2 linked regions of the Tamandua tetradactyla genome follow. The protein of the gene in region 1 interacts with the protein of each later gene in a pairwise test. Links are inferred from orthologs where the notes say so. Each region holds a gene or a part of one and is shown on either strand. Other genes may lie near its edges. The genes, in order: FOSL1 and USF1.

What was found.
Region 2: the proteins of FOSL1 (region 1) and USF1 interact in binary tests that used the Homo sapiens proteins (3 or more experiments, as listed by UniProt). The link is inferred for Tamandua tetradactyla from reciprocal best matches to the Homo sapiens genes FOSL1 and USF1.

Annotation. Positions count from the first base shown.
Region 1 is NC_135335.1:8,623,398-8,635,234, forward strand, and holds the start of FOSL1 (fos-related antigen 1), read left to right. Parts: upstream 1-6,993; 5' UTR 6,994-7,224; coding exon 7,225-7,326; intron 7,327-9,144; coding exon 9,145-9,342; intron 9,343-10,912; coding exon 10,913-11,104; intron 11,105-11,516; coding exon 11,517-11,837.
Region 2 is NC_135330.1:14,189,592-14,200,807, reverse strand, and holds the start of USF1 (upstream stimulatory factor 1), read left to right. Parts: upstream 1-6,606; 5' UTR 6,607-6,741; intron 6,742-7,714; exon of another isoform or gene 7,715-8,469; intron 8,470-9,008; 5' UTR 9,009-9,093; coding exon 9,094-9,101; intron 9,102-9,495; coding exon 9,496-9,545; intron 9,546-9,693; coding exon 9,694-9,809; intron 9,810-10,140; coding exon 10,141-10,242; intron 10,243-10,486; coding exon 10,487-10,682; intron 10,683-10,923; coding exon 10,924-11,011; intron 11,012-11,144; coding exon 11,145-11,203; intron 11,204-11,216. Other genes in the region: ARHGAP30 (rho GTPase-activating protein 30), read left to right, coding at 413-584, 664-767, 846-923, 1,514-1,909, 2,900-3,165, 3,258-4,886.

The sequences.
Region 1 (11,837 bases):
GGAGCATCAGACACAAGGTTTTCACAATCACACAGTAACACTGTGAAAGCTACATCATTATACAATCATCTTCAAGAAACAAGGCTACTGGAACACCCTGGTCTTGGGGTTTGTTCATATGAAACTTAACCCCACAAAGAATAGGTCAAGTCTACTTAAAATTAGGCCTTAGAGTCACCCCCAAGAGAGCCTCTTTCGTTGCTCAGATGTGGCCTCTCTCTCCAGCCAACACAACAAGCAGTCTCACCACCCTCCCCCTGTCTACGTGGGACATGACTCCCAGGGTGCAGACCTTCCCAGCAACTTGGGACAGAAATCCTAGAATGAGCTGAGACTCAGCATCAAGGGATTGAGAAAACCTTCTCAATCAAAAGGGAAATGAGACAAAGTGTCAATGGCTGAGAGATTCCAGAGTTGAGAGGTTATCCTGGAGGTTATTCTTATGCATTAAGTAGATATCACCTTGTTAGTCAAGATATAATGGAGAGACTGGAGGGAATTACCTGAAAATGTGGAGCTGTGTTCCAGTAGCCATGTTTCTTGATGATGATTGAATAATGATATAGCTTTCACAATGTGACTCTGTGGTTGTGAAAACCTTGTGTCTGATGCTCCTTTTATCTACCTTGTCACAGACGAGTAGATAAGTAGAACATATGGAATAAAAATAAGGAATAGGGGGAACAAATGTTAAAATAAATTTAGTTTGAAATGCTAGTGATCAATGAAAGGGAGGGGTAAGGGGTATGGTATGTATAATCTTTTTTTTTTCTGTTTTCGTTTTATTTCTTTTTCTGTTGTCTTTTTATTTCTTTTTCTGAATTGATGCAAATGTTCTAAGAAATGATGAATATGCAGCTATGTGATGATACTGTGAATTATTGATTATATATGTAGAACGGAATGATTATATGTTAATGTTTTTGTTTGCTTGATGTTAAATTTTTTTTTAATTAATAAATAAATAAATTTTAAAAAGAGAAAAGAAACATGGCTACTGGAACACAACTCTACCTTTTCAGGCAGTTCCCTCCAGCTTCTCCAATACCTCTTAATCTAAATAGGTGATCTCTATATAATGCGTAAGAATAACCTCCAGGATAATTTCTCAACCCTGTTTGGAATCTCTCAGCCACTGACACTTTATTTTGTCTCATTTCACTCTTCCCCCTTTTGGTGGAGTAGGTTTTCTCAGTCCCTTGATGCTGAGTCTCAGCTCATACTAGGATTTCTGTCCCACGTTGCCGGGAAGGTCCACACCCCTGGGAGTCATGTCCCGCGTAGACAGGGGGGGAACAGCCCCAACACTTTCTACCTGGCACCTGGGCATCTGACCACCTCCCTGGGCTGTGAGCCCCTTGGGGCGAGGACCAAGTCCTGAATCATCCTTGCCTCCCCGCTATCTGGCTCAACCCACCGTTTCATTCAGCTAATTCAGGAGACAGGATAACGACACTGGGGCACAGCCATGCACTGGGATGCTGCAGCGCAATGAAACAGAATGAACTGCTGCACCCACAGCAGGGTGAATCTGACAAACACCATGCTGAGCGAGAAACCAGACACAGAAAAGTGCGTACTGTATGATTCCCACTGGCGTGGAATATTCTAGAAGAGGCAAAACTAATCTATCATATGGAGATGAGCTCAGTGATTCCCTGGGGTGGGGGTGGGGTGGGGGATAGACTGACTGCCAAAGGGGAGGAAAGAAGCTTCTGGGGGATGGAAATGTCCTGGGTCTTGATCGGATCAGTGGCTGCTCGGAGCACAATGAGCAAAACGCAAGGCCAGTATGTTTAGAAAGTGCAGATTTGGGGAATGCAAGGATGGTTCGGTGGTAGAATTCTCGCCTGCCATGCAGGAGACCTGGGTTCGAGTCCCAGCCCGTGCACTTACCCCCCCCCCCCAAAAAAAAGTCAATAAATGGTGTTGCAATAATGGAAGAGTCACATGGAAAAAGAATGAAATATGACTTCTACCATTTAAAAAAAAAGTACAGATTTTAGCTAATGTAAAATACACCCCCAATGTAAGATATTTAAAAGGGAAAGAGATCTATAGGTTATGCTCAGCAGAAAGATTTCCAAGATGTAAGAAAACAAAAAAAAACAAGGGGGAAAGTGTGTAGAACAGACTACCTTTTGGGCAAAAAGATATAAAAGAAACTGGGTACATCGTTTCCTTGAGCGGGGAAGCAGAAATGGGAGGGAATTAGCAGGGACATTCTCCTTGTAAACACTTCTGGAACGTGTGGACTTTGAAGTATGGGAACGTATGTATTACCTAGTGGAAGAAGCAATGCCATTAAAAATTTAAAGACATTAAAAATACAAATCATGTTTTGAAATTTGGATTCCTTTTCCTCCACGCGTCCTTTTTATGACCACTCAGTGGGAAAATATATACCCCCCCCCAAAAATGCAAACATTTAAAAAATTATTCTAGTCCCCATACAAAAAAAAAAAAAGATGTAATAGTGAGCATCATGCTAGGGGGCTGTACTGCAGGAAGGGTTTTGACTAGAACAGGGGCTCATGGAGGAAGCAGTGGGTAACTGCAGTGGAGAGAGTTGGCCTGGTGGAGGGGGGTGGGGAGGGCTCCCTGGGGCAGAGGGAGCAGACTGTGCAAAAGTGGAGGGGTCCTCAGTGGTAAAATGCCTGCCTTCCATGCGGGAGACCCAGCTTCGATTCCTGAACCATGCACCACCACAATCCCCCCAAAAAGGAAGGGGTCCACTGAATGAGCCTATGCTGGCGAGGCAGGAGCCCAGGTCCGCCATGTCTGGGAGGGCTTGAAATGCCAATGTTAGGGATACTGGTCCCTTTTGAGGGACACACTAACAAGGCTATGAGAAGCCCCGGCTCTGGAGACCCGGTACGTAGGTTCAAATCCTGGCTCCACCACTATCTCACTGTGTGGCTTTTAGCAGGTGACTTAACTTCTCTGTGCCTCCATTTCCTAATCTGTAAAATGGGTATAACCTTACTATCTACCTCACAGGGTTACCCCGAGGATTGAATAAATTACTTTGAACCATGCCTGGTTCATTGGAGCTCAACAGTGTCATCCCCGAGGCCCTCCAGCCCCTCCAATCAACACATCACCTAAGAGGGTGCATTACCCATCCGCCACCCCGCCCCTCCCCAGGCCTCAGCACCTCCCTGTAGCCTTGCTGAAGGTGCTACAGCTCAGAAGGGTCCAATACAGCGAGTGATGTGGACAGACTTTAAAAGATTCCTCTGGAAACATTTTCATGATTAAAAATGCATATATGCGGGGGTGCACAGGTGGTTCAGTAGTAGAATGTTCGCCTTTCATACGGGAGACCTGGGTTCGATTTCCAGACCATGCACCCTTCCCCCCCAAAAATACATATATCCTTCTGAAGTGATGCAAATGCTCTAAAAATGATAATGGTGATGACTACACAACTATGTGATGATATGGACCGTATGTGTGTGAATATTTGTCAATAAACAAAAAATACATATATCCTCCAGGTTGCAAAGTGGGAGACCTAAAGGAGGGTGCTGAGCTGCAGAATGGGAAAAAGTCCAGGAGAAAGAGAGAGGATGGGGCCAGCCCGTTGACCGGAATTAGAGTGGTACTTCCAGACATGAAGCAACCGGAATTCTTTACCCACGACTGGTGGGACGTAAAACAGTAAAGCCACTTTTTGGAGAACTGTTTGGCGGAATCGACTAAAGTGCCAAGCACACGCCTACCTCCACGACCCAGCAATTCCAGTCCTGCCTGGGCAAATGTCCGAGAGAAATGAATGCAAATGGCCACCAAAGAACACATTGAGAGTGTTCTCAGCAGCCTCATTCATCCTAGCCCCAAACTGGAAGCACCCCCAGTGTTGCCCGCTTTTGATACTTTGCGCACACTAGAATGCAATACAGCAACAGAAAAGAGCTACTGGTTCACTCAGCTCTGTGGACAAACCCCCCCCAGATGGGATGCATGAAAAGACACATACTCCCCTCCAAAGAATACACAAGATATGGCTCCATTTATATGAAGTTCAAGAGCTGGCAGATCTTATCTGTGATGGTAAAAGTCAGAAGAGTGGCTACCTGGGAAGGGACACAGGGAAGTGCCCTACATCATAATGCGAGTGGTAGTTGCACAGGTTTATCTATATGTCAAAAGACATTGAGCTAATGGGCATAGCCCAAGTGCCCCTAAAGGGTGGGAGAAAGATCAAAGGTGATGGTGGAGTTACACAGAGAAGGTAAGGTTTAACAAATGAGTATGAGTGCTGAATCATTATACTGATATTTCTTTTGGTCTCCAGTATCTTAGAGCAGCTAGAAGTAAAAACCTAAAACTGGAATTGTAACCCATACCAAACTCTGAAATTGGTTCTACAACTACTTGTTGCGCTGTATTTTGATATTTTTCACACACAAAAAAGGTCAATTGTGATGCTTAAAAAAAAAAAAAGCATTGAGCTGAACCCCTTAGGAGCGCACTTTCCAGCATGCATGTTAAGCTGCAACTTAAAAAGAACAAACAAACAAAAATGTAATGGAACTGAAAAAATAAGCATCCCCTCCAATGCTCTGGTGGCACTGATTGGGCACACTCATGTATCACACCATTTTACCTCACTGCAACCCCCAAAGCTGGGATTCTCTGGGGCCCAGAGAGGGGAAATGACTGGGCCAGGGTCCCATGGCTGCCAAGGGGCTAGTGCATGGTCTCTCAGGCCTCCTGGCGCCCCACGAGGCTCTCAGCAATCCTCATTGTGACCCCCTGGAGTTCTCTCCTGGCCTCCTGAAGTTGGAGCCGGTGAGGTCAGGGACCAAGAAGACTTCTGCAGCCACAAGGTGGGAGTTAGTGACTGAGGAGTTTGGAATGTGCTGCCTCTGAAAGGGCCTCCTTGTGACTGAGCCGACGGTTAGAGCAGGAAGGGACTTTCAGAGCCGTGTAATCACACACATGCATAACTTGGAAGAGATGGGGAAACAAACTCAGAGGGGCTAAGAGGCTTGCCCCATGTCAGGAGTGGGGCAAGCCCTTGCTCAGGTAGTTGCTTCTGAGGCAGGCAGGTGGATGTGGTCAAGACTGTCCTTGCAGGTGATGCCACCTGGCTTCCTGTGTCATCCCTCCCAATTTGAGCTGAGCCAAGGAGGCCAGATATCAACGTGTGTGAGTGCTTCCTGTTTCCAGAGTCCCAAGGTGCTCCCATCTCTGAGGCTTTTGAGTAGTATGTGGATTTATTTCCACTACTATTTGTTAAGTTCTTACTATGGGGCCAGGTGCTGTGCTTGGCATGGGACAGTACTTCTATGCCTCTACAACTCTGAGGTGTAGTTATCATTGTCTCCATTTTACAGATGAGGAAATGGAGGCTGAGAGATTGCATGCCTCAGCTACAGTCACACAGCTGATGAGCGGCCTGGCCAGAATTCAAACCCAGGACCCAGAATCATCTGATGCATGCACTTCTTCAATTACTATGGTTTCTTTTTGTTTTTCATTGAAGACAAGCCTTGATTAGGACAAGGGCGGGGGTAAGTAGGCTGCTAAGGACCTCCTGAGTAGATGGCACTTTACAGCTTCATTCCATTTATTCCTCATAGCAGCCCCATGAGCTCAGTGGAGAGTCCCAATTCTACCCACCGGGACTGGAGCTGAGAGGAAATGTGACCTGCCCAGGGTCACACACAGACAGAAAACAGTAGCTCTGGCCCTGAAGGGGCCAACCTGGGCTTCTGGCTAAGCCCTGACTGAGTCCACAGACCCCTCTGGCTTCTGTTCCCAAGGAAGGCAATCCTGGACCCTTCTTTTCTGTGGGCTAAACTGGAGCTGATCAAATGGCGGTACCAGTGGAAAAGCAGGAGAACCCAATCTTCTTTCTGTAGTTAAGCCCACTTGCAGCTCCTTGCCCTCTCTGGGCCTTGGTTTCTTATCTATAAAATGGGAGGGGGCAGGGAAGAAGCTTCCAGACAGGTCCCCCCCCCACCCCGTGCTGACATTTGGTGTGAGTGAAAAGATGTCTGTGAAGCTGTGAGGCTTTGAACAGTCTTGGCTGAGCCTGGCCTAGAGCTCCCACAGCCCCGGTTTGAGAACCCAGTTCTCATTTAGTGGGCAATTCATTTCAATATCTCCCAGCCTCAGTTTCCCCATCTGTGAAATGGGGATGATAATGGCACCCACCTCCCAGGGTTATTGGTCTTTGGTTGTTGACATTTGGCTCTTGGCTTCCCATTCACACATTCAAACAAGGCTGGTGACCACAAGGAACACAGATGGCATTTAAAGAAGACGCCGTTCATCAAACACCTACACCCATGTCCCACTGGAGGCTCCCACTGCCTGTAGGGACTCTGTACTAAAGCTTGTTATAGCTCCTGGAATTACCCTGTGAGTAGCACAATTATTATTGTATTGTATTTATGGGTCTTCAAAGTAGTATTTTATTCATTGCAATCCGTACCACCAATTTTGTAATCTGGTTTGTCCTTTATTCACTTTCTAGTATACCTGAAACTTTAAAACCATGCCAGTGGAGGGGCCTCACGCCACGCCTGGGAAGCTGTGGGTGGCACTGAGCAAGGTTCCTGGCTTGAAATAAGCACCCAGTAAATCATCACCATCACCCATCACATTTACAATTCACTTTACAGCTTCCAAACCGCTTTCACATTCATCTTTCCAAACTCCCACGCGTGGCAAGGTAGCTGTGAGATTATATCGTCCTATCTTACAGATGCAAAAACTGAGACCCGGCCAAACTAGGAGGATAGGGGCCGGGAACGCCGCGGCTGGCTTTCTGTCTGCACCCGCGGCGGGGCGGGGCCGGACGGGGCAGGGCGGGGCGGGGCGCGCGGCTCCTGGGCAGGTGCGTAATTCCGTGAGGGGAACCCTCGGCTCCACCTGGGCGCGGCGAGGAAATTGCACCATGTATGGGCAGCTACGTCAGAGGGGGGGAGGATACTTGCAGCACTCCCGGCCGGGAGACGCCGAAGCCACCCCCTCTCCCCAAGAAAAGGCAGCTACCGGACAGTAGGAGGTGTCGAAAAGCTCGGGGCGGACTGGCAAAAGGCTAGAGGCGGAGCCCCGAGGTGACCCGCGCCGCCGCGCACCCCCCGCCCCCCGGTCCAAGTGGTTCAGCCCAAGAACTTTTCATTCATAAAAAAGACTCCACTGGGGAGCGAGTGAGTCAGAACCGCAGCCGCCGACGCGGACCCCGCACAGCAGCCAGCCCAGGGCATGTTCCGAGACTTCGGGGAACCGGGACCGAGCTCCGGCGCGGGCGGCGCGTACGGCGGCCCCTCGCAGCCCCCCGCCGCGGCGCAGGCGGCCGCCCAGCAGGTAAGAGGGGTCCGACGCCCACTGGTGCTCGGGTGGACAGCGCCTGGGACGCCGGGGTGAGCTCGAGAGTGGCTCTGGGGACTGGGGTAGGGAGCCGGGTGGCAGGACCCTGCCCGTTCTCCGCCGTCGAGCGGCCACTTTTCCTCCACCGCCCAGGGGGGACGCGTGCCCCCCCAGCCACTTCCCGGGTCCCCTCCTCCTGCCCAGGGACCCAGGACGCCTGGGTTAGTTGTAGCCCCAGTAGGATCAGAGCGTGTCTCCATCTCGGGCTAAATTCCGGAATCTGGAGTCTGGGCTTGGGCACCGAGGGAGGCGGGGTCCTTGGGCTGACCGGTCCCGACAGAGTGGGACTCCTTGGCACTGTCTGTGTGTCGCTCCGTTTGTCTGTCCTTCCCTCCCCACCCCTCGCCAAGCCCCTGTCCCCTTCTCAGCGGTGGCCCGGGCAGCGGAGCCTGGTGGGCTTCCAGGGACGGGTTCTCAACCCCACGATCGGGCCACTGGAGCCCTGGAGGTGCCGGGACGTGCGCGGGGCCACGTTGCGGGCAACTCCCGCGTCCCCGACTCCTGGCACCGAACAGCGCCCGCTGCCGGCGGGGGGCAGCCAGGAGGCTGCAGGTGTCCATTTCCTGTCGAGGGGCTGCCAACACGTGTCGCCAGGGGAGGGAAAGAGCGGGCGTCCGTTGCGCCGAGTCACGGCCGCCGAGTCACGGAGGCTGACTCACCCGGGGCGCCCCTCCCTTCCTGGCCCGGAGCTGCCGGGCCCGGACAACCTCGGGAGCCGGAGATGCCGTCGGCGGTCTCTCAGGCCCGGAACTGGGGTCACCCGGCCGCTGGGACGGCAGCCTGCACCGGGGCCACCACTGTCCGGACTTGCCTGGGCCTGTAGGGCGCTTCCCGGACGACTAGGTGCCCACACCCAGGGCCCAGCCCCAGGGCTCAAACCCAATTCTCTCAGAACAATGGACCCAGCCCATTCCTCAGATGCAGGCTCCATGCTGGGTGCTTTCCACTTCAGTTACCGCATTTCATTGAATCTAAGATGCCCTTGATCTTAAAACCCACCATTATTTTATGCACGTTAAAGGGGGGTGGGGGTGTGAAACAAGCTAATATTTCAGCAATTAAAAGGTAATTCGTAACACCACTGAAGTGCTCTAATCCTCATTTTTACAGTGTCACGAATGAGGAAACTGAGGCACACTGATTTGCCCCAGTAAGCAACTGAGCTAGGATTAGAACTGGGACAGGTGGAATCCAGAGCAGTGGCCCTTGCCTACCACAAGCCTGTGCACGGGGCACCTCCCACTTTCCAGGCTGTCACCTAAATTCTCTCACCCGATTTTCACAGCCACCTGGGAGCTGGGAAGTGTGATCATCCTCTTTGGGCAGATGGCACTCAGGCAGGGTGCAGGAGTGGGGAAGGGCATAGACTCTGGAGCTGGGCCCCTTGGGGTTTAATTCCACTTTCCACTTCCTAGCTGTTTGTCTGTGGACATCTGCTCCCCTGTCTAAAAATGAAGATAATACTAGAGCTGCCACCTTAGGGCTGTTGTGCAAATTATGAGTTGGTATCTGTATGGTGGTTAGAATACTACCCGGCAGGTCACACTCTATAAGTATCAACTCTGATGGGAAAACAGAGGCACAGAGAGGTTAGGGTACCTGCCCAAAGTCACACAGCTCGTGAGCAGGGCTTTGCCACAGGTCAATCTCTTTCTGGTTTCCCAGTACCAGCAGTTACATTGGGGGTGGATGGCAGTGTGGCCCTATCCACTAGATGTCCCTTAATCCTTGGTCCTCCATTTCTTATCCCCCCAGAAGTTCCACCTTGTGCCAAGCCTCAACACTGTGAGTGGCAGTCAAGAGCTGCAGTGGATGGTGCAGCCTCACTTCGTGGGGCCCAGCAACTACCCCAGGCCCCTGGCCTACCCCCAGTACAGTCCCCCACAACCTCGACCAGGTGTCATCCGGGCCTTGGGGCCACCTCCAGGCATCCGGCGCCGGCCCTGTGAACAGGTAAGGGACAGTGGCGTTGCATTGGTCCTGATACCTACAGGCGTGCTATGGCAGGGAGGAAGAGCGCCTGTCTGAAAGGGTAGGGGTGGGGTGGGAGGAAGGCAGGACCACTGGCAACTATTGCTCAAAGCAGAAAGTGATCAGATGCCAAGGTCACTGCTGGAGCAGGGGAAAGTTTCCTGGAACAGGGGCATAACAGCTGAAAAATATGGGTAGGATTTGCACATGTAGAGATGAAGGAAAGGAAGTTCCAGGTAGACAGAATGGCAGGAGCAAGGAATGGAGGTGGAGGTGAGGATGTGCATGGGGAAAGGTGAATGGGCAGCGGAGGGCCTCTACCTGCCGACATGCATGGAAGGGTGAGCTTATGCCACCCACGGCTCTGTAAAGCTGGGGAGAGAACAGGAACAAGAGGCTCCCCTTCAGCTACTCTCTGAGTCTGTTTCCCTCTCATTTGATCCTCACAAAAACGCTCTGGGGATTGTATGCTGGTTCTCCTCCTTTTTACAGCTGAGGAAACCAAGGCACAGAAAGGTAGAGTCACTCAGGCAAGATCCCATAAGTGGTGAGCAATGAGACAGGTCTAACTCTAAAGTAGGCTGCTAACCACCAAAGCTGCACTGACAGGTGTCACCAGCAGGCTGGAAGCCAGGGACTCTGCCTCCCCTACCAGGTGCCCTCACCAAAATGAATAAATAAGCAATGTGGGTCTTAAAAGAGGTGCCTCCTCCTTCCTCTCCCTGGCGAGCTTTAGTACTTGACAACTGGGTGAGGCTTTGTTGTTTAAATGTTTTTCTAGGACAGTAGGGTAGCGAATGGGGAGGGAAGTTGGGTCCTGGGGAAGATGTGAGATGGACCAGCATGGGGTTTCCAGAATCAGAATGGCTGGCCTTTGTGACCAACTGGAGGATGGGAGAGCGGTGTGGGCCCCAGAGGCAGCCACCTCCTGGACTTTCAGCCCCCTGGGTTCTCCCCAGTGAGAGCTGTGAGGTGGGGGTTCTTTTGAGGGAGGTGGTCTCCAGCAGCTGGCCTCCTTGAAGAGCTAGTGGGTCCTAAATCCTGCTCCAGAACCTTGAACACATTTTTCATTCCCCCCTGGGCTTTAGTTCCTCACATGGCAAGTGGGGCTATGTATCCATAAAGCACTTGGCTGGCACATAGTAGGTTCCCAATAAACTGCAGTTTATTCAGTGGCCCTCACTAGCCCCTCCTAGTGCTCACAGCCCGTGGGAAAGAGGAGACTGGGTCATCAAGAGTTCAGAGATGGAGACAGATGAGGGTCCTGCGAAAAGAGGCGGCTTGGTCCCCAGGGCTCAGAGGGGGAGAGGCCACATCTGGCTGGGGAATAAGAGACTTCCTGGAGGCGGGGGCATCTTCGCCAAGTTCTGGGAGATGAGGAGGGTTAACATTCCGGGAAATGATAAGAGGCAAAGGCTGGGTGCTAGAAAGAAATTGGACCAATCCAGGCTGACGGGAGCTTGGGTGCTGGGAGTCAGTGGGCCGGGGTGCGGGGCTCTCTCAACCCGACTGACGCCCCCCCCCCCGCCCCCGCTGCCATGCCCTCCGCCAGGGTCCTACGGCGGGGCCGCCGTGGGGGAGTGCCGGGCACCCTGCGGCCCAGGACCCGCCTCACCGCCGACCCCCGGTCCCCCAGATCAGTCCTGAGGAGGAGGAGCGCCGCCGAGTGAGGCGCGAGCGGAACAAGCTAGCCGCCGCCAAGTGCCGGAACCGGAGGAAGGAACTGACCGACTTCCTGCAGGCGGTGAGCACCGACCCGGGCCCACCGAGGCTCGGCGGGTCCGGGGGCGCCCTAGGGTGCGCGGGGGGCCAGTGGTCTCCACTCTCTCTCCCCCACCTCCCGGCTGCCTGCCCGAGGGGGGGGAAGCCCTTCCAGGAAAAGGACGAGGAAACAGCGAGTTAAAACGAGTGGCAGCGCGCCTCACTCTGTAATCCAGGCAAATCGCCGGTCCTCCCCGACTCAATCCTTCTCGCGGAAGGAGGAAGGGGCACGGAAGACAGACGCCCCCAGGCCTTCTGGGAGCCCGGCCCATTTTCTCCCGGGGGCTCACGGGAGTTGTAGTCCAACCCCCTCCCCGCCCCACCCTGCCTCTCCCCCGAGGCCGCGGGATCCTCAGCCCTCAGCTTCCTGATGACTCCCGCGCCTCCCTCTCCAGGAGACCGACAAACTGGAGGGCGAGAAGTCCGGGCTGCAGCGAGAAATTGAGGAGCTGCAGAAGCAGAAGGAGCGCCTGGAGCTGGTGCTCGAAGCCCACCGCCCCATCTGCAAAATCCCGGAGGGGGCCGAGGAAAGTGGCGCAGGTGGTCCCAGCGGCAGCAGCAGCCCGCCCGGCCCCTCCCGTCCTGTGCCTTGTATCTCCCTTTCCCCCGGTCCGGTGCTTGAGCCCGAGGCGTTGCACACCCCCACACTCATGACTACACCCTCCCTGACCCCATTCACCCCCAGCCTGGTCTTCACCTACCCCAGCACTCCCGAA
Region 2 (11,216 bases), on another chromosome or scaffold:
CCCAGTCTCTTCATTTTGTACCTGAGGAAACTGAGTCTCATAGAGAGGAGACACTGCTTATGGCCACATGGAGAGACCCTGGAGAGATAATGGCATAGTCAGTACTTGGGCAGGGCTCTGTTACTCTCAGTCCAAGATGCAGCTTGACCTCTTGCCATCACCATGCTGTTCCCTAAAGCTATTCATTGCTTATTATCATTCCCAGACCACCGGGTCAATGCCCTAGCATCTCCTGACCTTCTCTGTCTGAGAGCACCCTTTTGAGGAGGTGGATATGGAGGGCTTGATCCTAGGGGCTCTGAGTACCTTCCTAGCAGGTGGCTGATGAGGGGCGGGGAGTGCAATGAATAGTTGAATGCCTGAGGTCCTTCTGCATCTGTGCCTGGTTGGCAAATTCCTTTTCTTTTCCCAGCTGGTGAGGTGGAGGGTACGTGGCGATTGCTTCCAGGGACCCGGGCATCTGGCGGGCTTGAGGACCATATGCCCAGGTCTTTGCCCTACCACCTGCCTAGCATCCTGCAAGCCGGTGATGGACCCCCACAGATCCGGCCCTACCACACTATCATTGAGATTGCAGAGCACAAGTAAGGCCTCCTTCCTGGGCTCTCCTCCCTTGCACTGACCACCTGCCCCCAACCCTCAGTTATTTCTTCTTCTATGCAGAAGGAAGGGATCTTTGAAGGTCAGGAAATGGAGATCCATCTTTAATCTGGGGCGCTCTGGCCATGAGACGAAGCGTAAACTTCCACGGGGTGGTGAGGACAGGGGTAAGTCTAGGGAGGTGTGGGGAAAGCTCTAATGAGCATGTGTAAATCCCTGACTCTATGTACATCCCTTTCTTGCAGAGGACAAGTCCGATAAGGGGACACTGCGGCCAGCCAAGAGCATGGACTCACTGAGTGCTGCAGCTGGGGCCAGTGATGGTGAGTATAGGTGTGTACTCGTGTGTGTGTGTGTATGTCGTGTGTTGTATAATCAGTGACATGGGTCTGGGTGCATCTGGGTGCATGCCTATGAATGTGTCTGCGAGAGAACAGTGTTATGGTGAGACCAGAATGTGTGCATCCCTATGTATGTGTGTCTGTACATGAGGCCAATAATGTTTAATAATTTTAAAAATATTTAATGAGTGCCTGTTCTACACCAGTCACTGTACTGGATGCTGGGTTTATAGTGGTGACTTATAGTCTAATCTATGTGTATTCATATGACTGTCAATGGAAGTAAGTGAAAGTATGATGTGGATGAAGGAGCAGCATGTGTGTGTGTATGTGTATGTTAATAAAGGTCAGTGACTTTATCTTCATGGAGGGGAAAGACGTTCCCTGGGTAAGCAGGTGGAATAAACTGATTTTCTAGCTGCTGAAGGTTTGCACTAGTGGCTGAGAGAGCTGGGTCTGGTGACTTCCAGGCTTGCCTGCTTCTCAAGGAGCACTCTTCAGAGCCTTCCTGAGAAGTTTAGGCCTCTTGCAGCTAAGACTATTGCCTACCTGGACCTCTCTCTCCTCCACAGAGCCAGAGGGGCTGGTAGGACCCAGCAGCTCGCAGCCAAACTCACTGCTAACTGAGAGCTTGGAAAACGATTCTGTGGAGGCAGCAGAGGGCGAGCAGGAGCTCGAGGCAGAAGCTCTGGGTGGCACAAACTCTGAGCCAGGCACACCGCGAGCTGGGCGGTCAACAGCCCGGGTCGGGGGCAGCAGCCGCGCAGAACGCTGTGTCGGAGTCCACATCTCAGACCCCTACAATGTCAACCTTCCCCTACACATCACCTCTATCCTCAGTGTGCCACCGAACATCATCTCCAACGTCTCCTTGGCCAGACTCACCCGCGGCCTTGAGTGCCCCGCCCTACAGCCCCGGCCAAGCCTGGCCTCTGGCTCAGGCCCAGGCCCAGGCCCTGGTCCTCCAGGTGAGGACTGAGAAAGGGGACTAGAACTGGGTAAAGGGGTTACAGCGCTAGGCTGAAGTTCAGGTCTGATGCAGGGATCCACCTTGGAAGGGCAGAGGCTTTAGTCCTTGGGCTTTGGGGTGCTTGTCTTCAATTGCCTCCCGGGGGGGGGGGAATCCAGTTACATCAGACTGTATGAAATCCACTGACAGAGTACCTCTGGCAACCTTTAGGTCAGTGCTGTATACAGGAATGGGCGTCTATGCCAGATATATGCAGCAGGGATTACTAAGTACTGGTGTGGGAATATATAATAGGTGATAGTACTACTAATAATATGAATAATAACAGCTAACATCTACCAAGGGCAAATTATGTGCCAAGTGCCATATTAAACTCCTGGTAGGTGTTAGCTTGTTTAATTTTCTCATAACCTTATGACCTAGGTATTGTTCTTACCCTTATTTTACAGTGGAGGAACCTGAGACTTAGGTCTAGCAGTTTGCTATCACTCTAAGTAGGAAGTAGTAGAACTGGGATCTAATTTTTGCTCTGACTCCTGTTCCTGAAGTGTTATTAATGAGAAGTACTGAGGCAGCATAGCCTAGTGACTGAGGTCATAAGCTGTGGTGTTAAATAGACTTGGGTTCAAATTTTGGCTTTGCTACTTATTGGATGTGGGACCTTGGACAAAATAGTTTATTCTCTCTGAGCCTCAGTTTCCTCTGCTTATAATGTGGGAACAATACCTTATATAATAGGGTTGTTTTGAGGGGAAAACAAGATATGCATTGTAAAATGTATAGCATGGTGCTTAGCACCTGGCAGGTGCTGAATAAAAGGAGGCTACAAGCCAAGAGTTAGGGATATTGATCTAAGAGGATCAGCTATGCGGAATGTCTGTGCTGGGAGCACTGGGCCTATACTCTATCAGTGCTAGAAAGACTCATGTGGAAAGGGTCAAGGCTGGCCTGGCCCTTTGGATTTCTGGGACTACCTCTCTCTCAACAGATGAGAAGTCAGAGGCAAGTTCAGCCCCTGGTTCCCTGGCTGACTCTGGCCAAGCAGAAGTGGCCCCTGCCCTGGAAGACTCCCTGTCCCAGGAGGTGCAGGATTCCTTCTCCTTCCTAGAGGACTCAAGCAGCTCAGATCCTGAGTGGGTGGGGGTGGAGGATGGGGAGGTGACCAAGGCAGGAGCGGCAGGAGCAGCTTTCTCTCCTGTGGAGGACGATCCTGGGATGGGCTACCTGGAGGAGCTCCTGGGAATTGGGCCTCAGGTAAGATGGAGGTGTGCTGGGTTTTGGGGTGGTATGGGATCTGGAGGGTGGATAGGGTCGCCCAGTCCTGAGCTACAACACCATGTCTACAGGTGGAGGAGTTCTCTGTGGAACCACCCCTTGATGATCTGTCTCTGGATGAGGGACAGTTTGTTCTGGCTCCCAGCTGCTGTTCCCTGGACCTGGCTAGCCCCAGGCCTGATGCAGAGGAGGAAGGTGGGGAGGAAGTCTTCCTGAGTGCCTACGATGACCTAGATCCCCTTATGGGACCCAAATCCTCAAACTGGGAGGGTCCAGGGAATCTGGAAGAAGAGGCAGCAGGGTGCAGAAGATGGTCTCCAGGACAGGTTGAGGGAGAGCAGGTGTGTACGGAAGTTGGGGAGGACAAGGAGTCTGAGCCTGGAAGCAGATGGGATGTTAGGGAGGAGGCTGAGGGATGTCCACAGACTGAGGAAGGGGCTGGAGTGGCTGGTGAGGAAGGAGCAGAGGCTAAGGGAGACCAAGACATGATGGTCAGTTTGAGAGATGGGAGTGGGGAAGAGACAGAGGCCAAGGGAGAGAAGTCCAAAAGTCAGATGGATGCTGAGAATGAGGCTAAAGGTGTGGAAGAATCAGGAGAGGAGCATGGTAAAGACAAGGAGAAGGAAAGAGAGAATGAGAGAGAGGAAGAGACTGATGGAGGAGGGGAAGTCCAGGCAGAAGTTGAACAGGACCCAGAACATGGGACCCAGGAACACCAAGTTGCTGAGGAGAGCTGGGAAGTTATACATGAACAAGAGGCTGAGGGAGGCAGGGAGGATGAGGTCAAAGGACAGAGAGGGAAGGGGGGTCAAGAGGCAATAGAAGATCAAGGAAATGGTGAAGACAGAAGCCCAGAAGACGCAGCTGGAGGAGGAGCAGGGGTAGTGAGCAAGGAACGGGAGAGTGGAGATGGGGAAGCTGAGGGAGACCAGAGAGCTGAAGGTGACCATATAGAAAAGGGTTCTTTCCCTGAAGGGTCAGTCATAGAGTGCTTGGAGGTCGACAGTAACAAAGAGGGCAACGCTCAGGCCTCTGAGGGGGAACAGGCAACTCCACAACCACCCCGGCCAGAAGAGATGGAACCTGAGGGGCATCCCAGTTCAGACAGCTGCAATCTGTGCCTCTGTACCCTTGACTCAGTCAGTGGTGTGGGCATGCGTCTGGCTTCCACCCTCGTTCAGGTCCAACAGGTCCGCTCTGTGCCTGTGGTGCCCCCCAAACCACAGTTTGCCAAGAAACCCAGTGCACTGTGTAGCAAGATCCATGTGGCACCTGCAAACCCATGTCCAAGGCCTGGCCGGCTTGATGGGACTCCTGGGGAAAGAGTTTGGGGGTCTCGAGCCTCCCGCTCCTCCTGGAGGAATGGGGGTAGTCTTTCCTTTGATGCTGCTGTGGCCCTGGCCCGGGACCGCCAAAGAACTGAGGCTCAGGGAGTTCAGCGGACCCAGACCTATACTGGGGGCGGGGACTATAGCTTCATTCCCAGAACCTTTCCCTGTAGCATGACCCCAGCCCATTCTCCTCGGCCCCTTAGCTGCCTGGAGCTCCAACCTGAAGGTACAGAAGGATCTGGACCCCGGAGTCGACTTAGTCTGCCCCCCACAGAACTCCAGCCCCCTGACTCCCTTATGCCCCCCCAGCGCCGATCGTATGCATTCGAAACACATGCTGACCCTGGAAAAGTGAGGGACTGTGATTAGGACCAAAGCACTGGGTAAAGGGGACCAGTCAGTTGTTTTGAATCTCCAGGCCCCCTGAACAGCTGTCTCTTCTGCAGCCTGAGCAGCTGTAGTACCCAACTCTATAGGCTTTGGCTCTCCAGCTTCTCTTTTTGACTCTGGGAGGCTGCAGCCTTGATTGATTTACCTGAGCTTGTCTCAGATAGAAAGCACTTATCTCTTAGGAGATTCCTAAGAAATCTTGTTTCTAGAGAGAGCAGTCATTGACAAAGAGAACAGAGGGTGGGCTGAGAGCTTAAGATAGAGATTTCTCAAAGTAAAGAGTAGAAGGGGAATTTCAACCATGTTCCTGCCCTCCTCTGAGGCTGTGATGTCCTTTATGGAAGCCCAGGGTGGAAGGGAGAAGAAAAGGCCAGGTCAGAGCCTACCTCACACAAACACTTCTAGAGATGCCCAGCCCTGGACTGTTATTGGATCCTTGGATACATTCTGACCTTCTGAGCTTCAGATTGCCAGGAATGTGTCAGGAAGCTCTTTGGATGCCTCAAAATTTGTTGGGGGGACTGACCCCTTCCTGGTCCCCCCACCACCCTCTGCCTTCAGTCACCTTTGGGAAGAAGGGTCCTGTAGCTATCTCTCTGGCCTCTCCTTTTCCCTTTGGAATAGCCTCCTCCTATCTCAGGATAGAAGTCACTCAGGTTCTAGGACTGCTTTTCCAAACAGGCTGAGGCTACAGGTCTCACTCTAGTAAGATGCAAAGTTTCGGAATAAAAGTTGTATTTTTACACATAAATAGTGTGGTATTTCATTATGCTTATTAAAGTCTTGGGTTGTAGGTATCATCTTTTCATGTTTGGGCAAACATCTCTTTTTATTGTTTGGGTGTTCTTCCTTAGTTGTTGTCATGGGGATCTGTGGCTAGAAACTAGAGCTGGGTTCACAGTGGTCAGGAAAGGGGGAAGAGAAACTGACATTTACATAATTTTCAATATGTGCTAGAAACTGGGATAGGTCTTCTATGTGCATAGAGTCTACGTCCTTCATTTTATTTAACTCATGTAACAATTCTGTAAGGTTAGTACTGATACCTACATTTAAGGGAGCAAGGGGCCAAGGCTCACTTAAGTTAAAAGGCCAGCCAAGGATCTCAGAGGTAAGACGTGGCAGGCGGGGGGTGGGTTTGAGGCCCAGGGTTGTGGAGCCCCACAGCCTGTTCTTTTCATTGTACCACATTACTACAAATCCATTAAGGGTAGATCCTGACTGGGGAGAATAGGAATTAACATCCCTCCCACAGACACCGAAGATTGGGGTCTGTGGGTGAGGTGCGGTTGATGCTAATGGCAAGGAGTACATCCGACAGCTTTCCTAAATTCCACTAGAAAACACTTAAAAGAGATGTCCCGGTCCAAGATGGCCTCCCACATAGCCCTTATTAAAGATGGCGCCTCCAGCTGACGTCCCTTCCGAGTTAACCTGGGCTCCCTCAACCCCTTTTCTCCTGGGATTAAAAAAGCCCTGCCCAGCACAAAAATGGCAGTTCAAGTTAGTCATTTTTCTCCGCTTCCTGCTCTCCTGCTGAAAGCCACTAGGAACTCCACTGTCATTATACTGGGACAGCAGCAGTTGGTTCTCCTCCGCTCCAGCAATACCCCACCACCTCGGCATTCCTCAACCTGCATCAAGATGGGGCTAACGGAAGTGGGGCGGCTCCATGGCTATAAGCAGGCAGGGCGGGTCGAGAGAGACACTTCCGCCCCTCACCAATATGGCCGCGGGTTGGGAACGCGCATGAGCAGCTGTCTATGGAGCTACCCGGGTCTGGGGTGGGGAGAACACCGTCCGGGAAAAGCAGCGGCTGAGGCGGCTTTGGCCGGTGAGTGCAGGACCGGATGCGAGTCTGGAGAGTGATGAACCGGCAGAGCTGAGCAGCTTTAATTTGTTTTAGTTTTTTTAGGTTAGGGAACTCCTGTGGAGGGAGCCTTTGTTTTGGGGGAGGGGGCCGCGCCTGATTCTTTATCTCCTACCCCCTTAGTGGGCCGAACTCGTTCCCCGCCCCGCGCGCGCTCGCCCCCGCCCTCCTGCGGTCCTCGGCCGTCGATCGCGGCAGGGGGCGCCGGGCCACCGAGGGTCCCCGAACCGCTGGCGCCCTTTGCTCCCTCTACCGCGGGCTGAGCGCGGCGGGGCTGGCGGGGTCAAGGCGCGGGCTCCCGGCTTAGTGCCCTGCTCCGTCGGCGCCTGCCGGTTGGTGGGCCTGCAGGGAGACGTCGCATTCCCAGGCAAAGTCTAGGCGTCTGTCTTCTTTCGGGACTTCATTTTTTTTCCCCTTTTGTGTCCAGATTTAGCAAGGGCTCTGGCTGGTCCCTCCTCGCCTGAGTGTGCAGGCTACAACATCCTATCCCAATTTCCGTGTCGCACATCCCTAAGGCTCAATAAATACTTTTCTGATGTCCAACTGAGATTCAACTAAGTAGCCTGACCCCGTTGCTCGGTGTCCTCAGGTGCTACACCTGGCTGACAGCTGTGGATAATAGGGATGCCTCCCTATTCCTTGCTCTCTCTTTCTTTACCTCCTTCTGCAGTCAGCGCTGCAAGCCTCGGGAGGGGCATTTCTTCCTTGCTTTTAGGATGGAGAGGCAGGTGGTCCTGAAACACTACTGCTACTTCCCCTTAGGGACTGGAATCTCCTTGCAGTGTTACTTCCTCTGGCAGTTTCACTTTCAGTTCCTTTTTTTAAAAAATACTTTCTTTGGAACGGGCTTTCCAAGGCTTATCCAAGAATGAAGATTTTCCTTGGCTAGGGAAGGGTTTAGGGTTTGGGGTTTGGGGGAGCATAGGGAGAGAGAGTTTATAAAAATCTTACCTGTTTTGTGTTGGGATTATTTTATTGCTTTGTAAAACGATGCTAATTCTCTCTGGAGGTATCTGTCTGCTCAACCCTTTGTTCTTCCTGTCCTCTGACTGTCAAGGTCCAAAGGCAGGCATCTTATGTTATAGACTGAATCATGTCCCCCACAAAGAGATGTTCAAATCCTAATCCCTGGTTCTGTGGATGTGAACTCATTTGTAAGTAGGATATTCGAAGATGTTATTAGTTATGGTGAGGCCAAATTGAATCAGGGTGGGCCTTATCCATTATGACTGGAACCCTCATAAGCAGAGGAAGTTTGGCCACAGTCAGTAGTAGGAGACAGAAGGAGATAGATGGCCACGTGACAGAGGCAGAGACTGAGTTAAGGATTACCAGCAAACTATCACCAGGATGCTCCAGACTTCAGAGAAAGCCTGATCCTGCCAACACCTTGAGTTTAGACTTTTAGGCTCCAAATCTGTGAGACAATAAATTCCTGTTGTTTAAGCCAACCAGTGTGTGGTATTTGTTATGGTAGCCTTGGCAAGCTAAAACAACTTGTGAATGGATTCTTCCCCCACTGTCTCTTCTCCTTCAGAACCCTGAGCCTGGAATTTTCTCATTCTTATTGAGGCTCAGTTGATTTGGAGTTGTCATGGCAACATGTTAGCAAATGTGTTTGGCAGGAAGCCTTGGTGAATAAAACCACAGGGGCTTAAAGAGGCTGCACTTGGGCTTTAGGGTCTCTAACAGGTGACATAAATCTGGACATCCCCAAACGAGAGCCCTGTCAACAAAATAGGGCCTGAGGGCCAAGTCTGGTCTTTGTGGTTAGCGATGTGTTTGCAGTGGCAGTGGGCTTTGGTTTTCCCCTCCATAGAATCAAGAATAGAGATTTCTTGGTATTCAGAATGTGGCTGAGAAGCTGGAAGAAGCATCAGTGTCATGGCCCTGTGGTCTTTGCTGGTGTTGGTCTAACATGGGTCTTCATAATCCCCATGAAGCTGCTGTCATATCAGATCATATGACTATAATAATCCAATCAGATATGTTATTTCTCAGTCTTCCAGTCCAATTATCCCCTCTCCAGATAGAGTTGGAGTGATAATAGAGGGCAAAGCACATCGTTTTTAGAGTGGCTTTTTCACCCACTTTAGCCCAATTCTAGGTATCAAAATGGCAGAGACTGATTGGATTATATTCTTGGCTGTGTTTTCATGGGGCCCAGGTTCTAGAACTAGGGGTGCTTTTCAGTTTCCTAGACTCATTGCAAACTCCCTGATTTCTCCCAGGACTTAGCACACAGGGCTGTGAGGCAGGAGATACGAAGACCTCAAGAGAAGGACCAGGTCCTCGGATGTGCCCCCTCACAGAGAGATGAAGGGGTGAGTCAAGAAGAAGTAGACTGGTACAGGAGGGAGGTGGCTTGGGAGAATGGTAATATGGCTAAGAGAATTTGCTCTGGAGTCACACCTGGATTCAGGTTCCAGCTCCATCACTTCTAGTTGTGTGATTTGGTTTCTCCGTGTATAAAATGGAGGTAGTGCTGCCTACCTCATAGGGGTGTTCCTAGTATTAAATGAGATAGTGCATGTTAAGTGCTTAGCTCAGTGCCTGGGTCCATATTAAACACTCAGTAAGTATTAGCTGTTGTTATTCCAATCTAATCTAGCATCTGTTGGGAATGCCACTGAGTTTGGGAGCCATATGTTACTGGATCAGTGAGCTTCCCATTCATTTCTTTCCTCATCCCTCCTTTTGTCCCTTATTCACAAATAGGCAGCAGAAAACAGCTGAAACAGAAGAGGGGACAGTGCAGATTCAGGAAGGTGAGTGGTAACAACAGATTTGAGAGCATATCATGGCCTCCCCCGTGGCCCATCTCTTGTGCACTCTCCTCCTTCTAAATGACATGCATGTGGAACAGAGGGATAAGGGCAGTAGCTCATAAACCTTTCTTTTGCTCTTTTAATTCAGGTGCAGTGGCAACTGGGGAGGACCCAACCAGTGTGGCTATTGCCAGCATCCAGTCAGCTGCCACCTTCCCTGACCCCAACGTCAAGTACGTCTTCCGAACTGAGAATGGGGGCCAGGTAAGGGAGGGGGCCAGGTGGCTGCAGGTGTGAACTGGGGTTGGGATTGAGGGAGGTAATTGAACATGTCTTAGGGGAAACTTGGCTTGGAGGATGAGGCAAAGATGTGAACTGTTTGGGGGTGGATAAGGCATAGAGTAAAGATTGTTGTGGCTTGGGGTTATGTTGGGACGTCTATACGGCAGAAAGGGGGGAAAGGCTGAATCTGTGTCTCAGAAGAACTCTTGTTTTGGGGCCTTATCCAATGGAAGTTCAATGAGGGGCCCTGGATTCCCCAGCACTTACTTTTTTCTTCTCTCTCCCCCTCGTCCCTCTTTTCTCCACACTTTAGGTGATGTACAGGGTGATCCAGGTGTCTGAGGGGCAGCTGGATGGCCAGACTGAGGGCACTGGTGCCATCAGTGGCTATCCTGCCACTCAATCCATGACCCAGGTACAGGAGTCTGGGCTGGGACAGGGACTAGAGTTCTGAACAGTAAGATGAAGATGGGAACCAATAGAATGGGAGGTGAAGCTAGAGAGGGTGTGGCATCTGGGACTCCCTTATCCTTAGACATTAGGCTCTTCCTTTCTGGATATCCTTCTACTCTCCAATAAGGGATGGAAGCTGCAGAGTGGTATGGTGGGAAGCTGTGTCTGACTATCACTCAACTCTGTCCTTTTGCTTTCCTTCCCAGGCAGTGATCCAGGGCGCATTCACCAGTGATGATGCAGTTGACACAGAGGGGACAGCAGCTGAGACACACTATACTTACTTCCCCAGTACTGCAGTGGGAGATGGGGCAGGGGGCACCACATCAGGGAGTACAGCTGCTGTTGTTACTACCCAGGGCTCAGAGGCATTACTGGGGCAGGCAACTCCTCCTGGCACTGGTGAGATATCATATGCAAACACTGGCTATAGGGGTTAGGTCAGGTTGTGGGACATTCCTGGTGGCAGTGGGCCTTTACTCATGTCCGCGTAGGTGTTCACTAAGGCCTGGGCAGGCAGTGGGTCTTCCTTTCAGCAGAAGAAAGCATGTTTGTTTAGAGGAGGTTCCCTGGACCTTGGTTTCAGAGCTTGGTGGGGTTCCTAGTTCCATGACCTTACAGAACCTAACCTGCATGTTCATAGGTCAATTCTTTGTGATGATGTCACCACAAGAAGTGTTGCAGGGAGGCAGCCAGCGCTCCATTGCCCCTAGGACTCACCCTTATTCCCCGTGAGTAACCCCTTTTCCCCAATTACCATGAGTAGTCTTGATTCCTGACAAGTCTCATATAATCCTTTACTTCAAACTCCCATCTTATATTTTCTCCTTGCCTTACTCTGGCCTCCCTGGCTTCTGTTGTCAGGAAATCAGAAGCTCCCCGCACGACTCGGGATGAGAAGCGCAGGGCTCAGCACAATGAAGGTATGTTGACCTA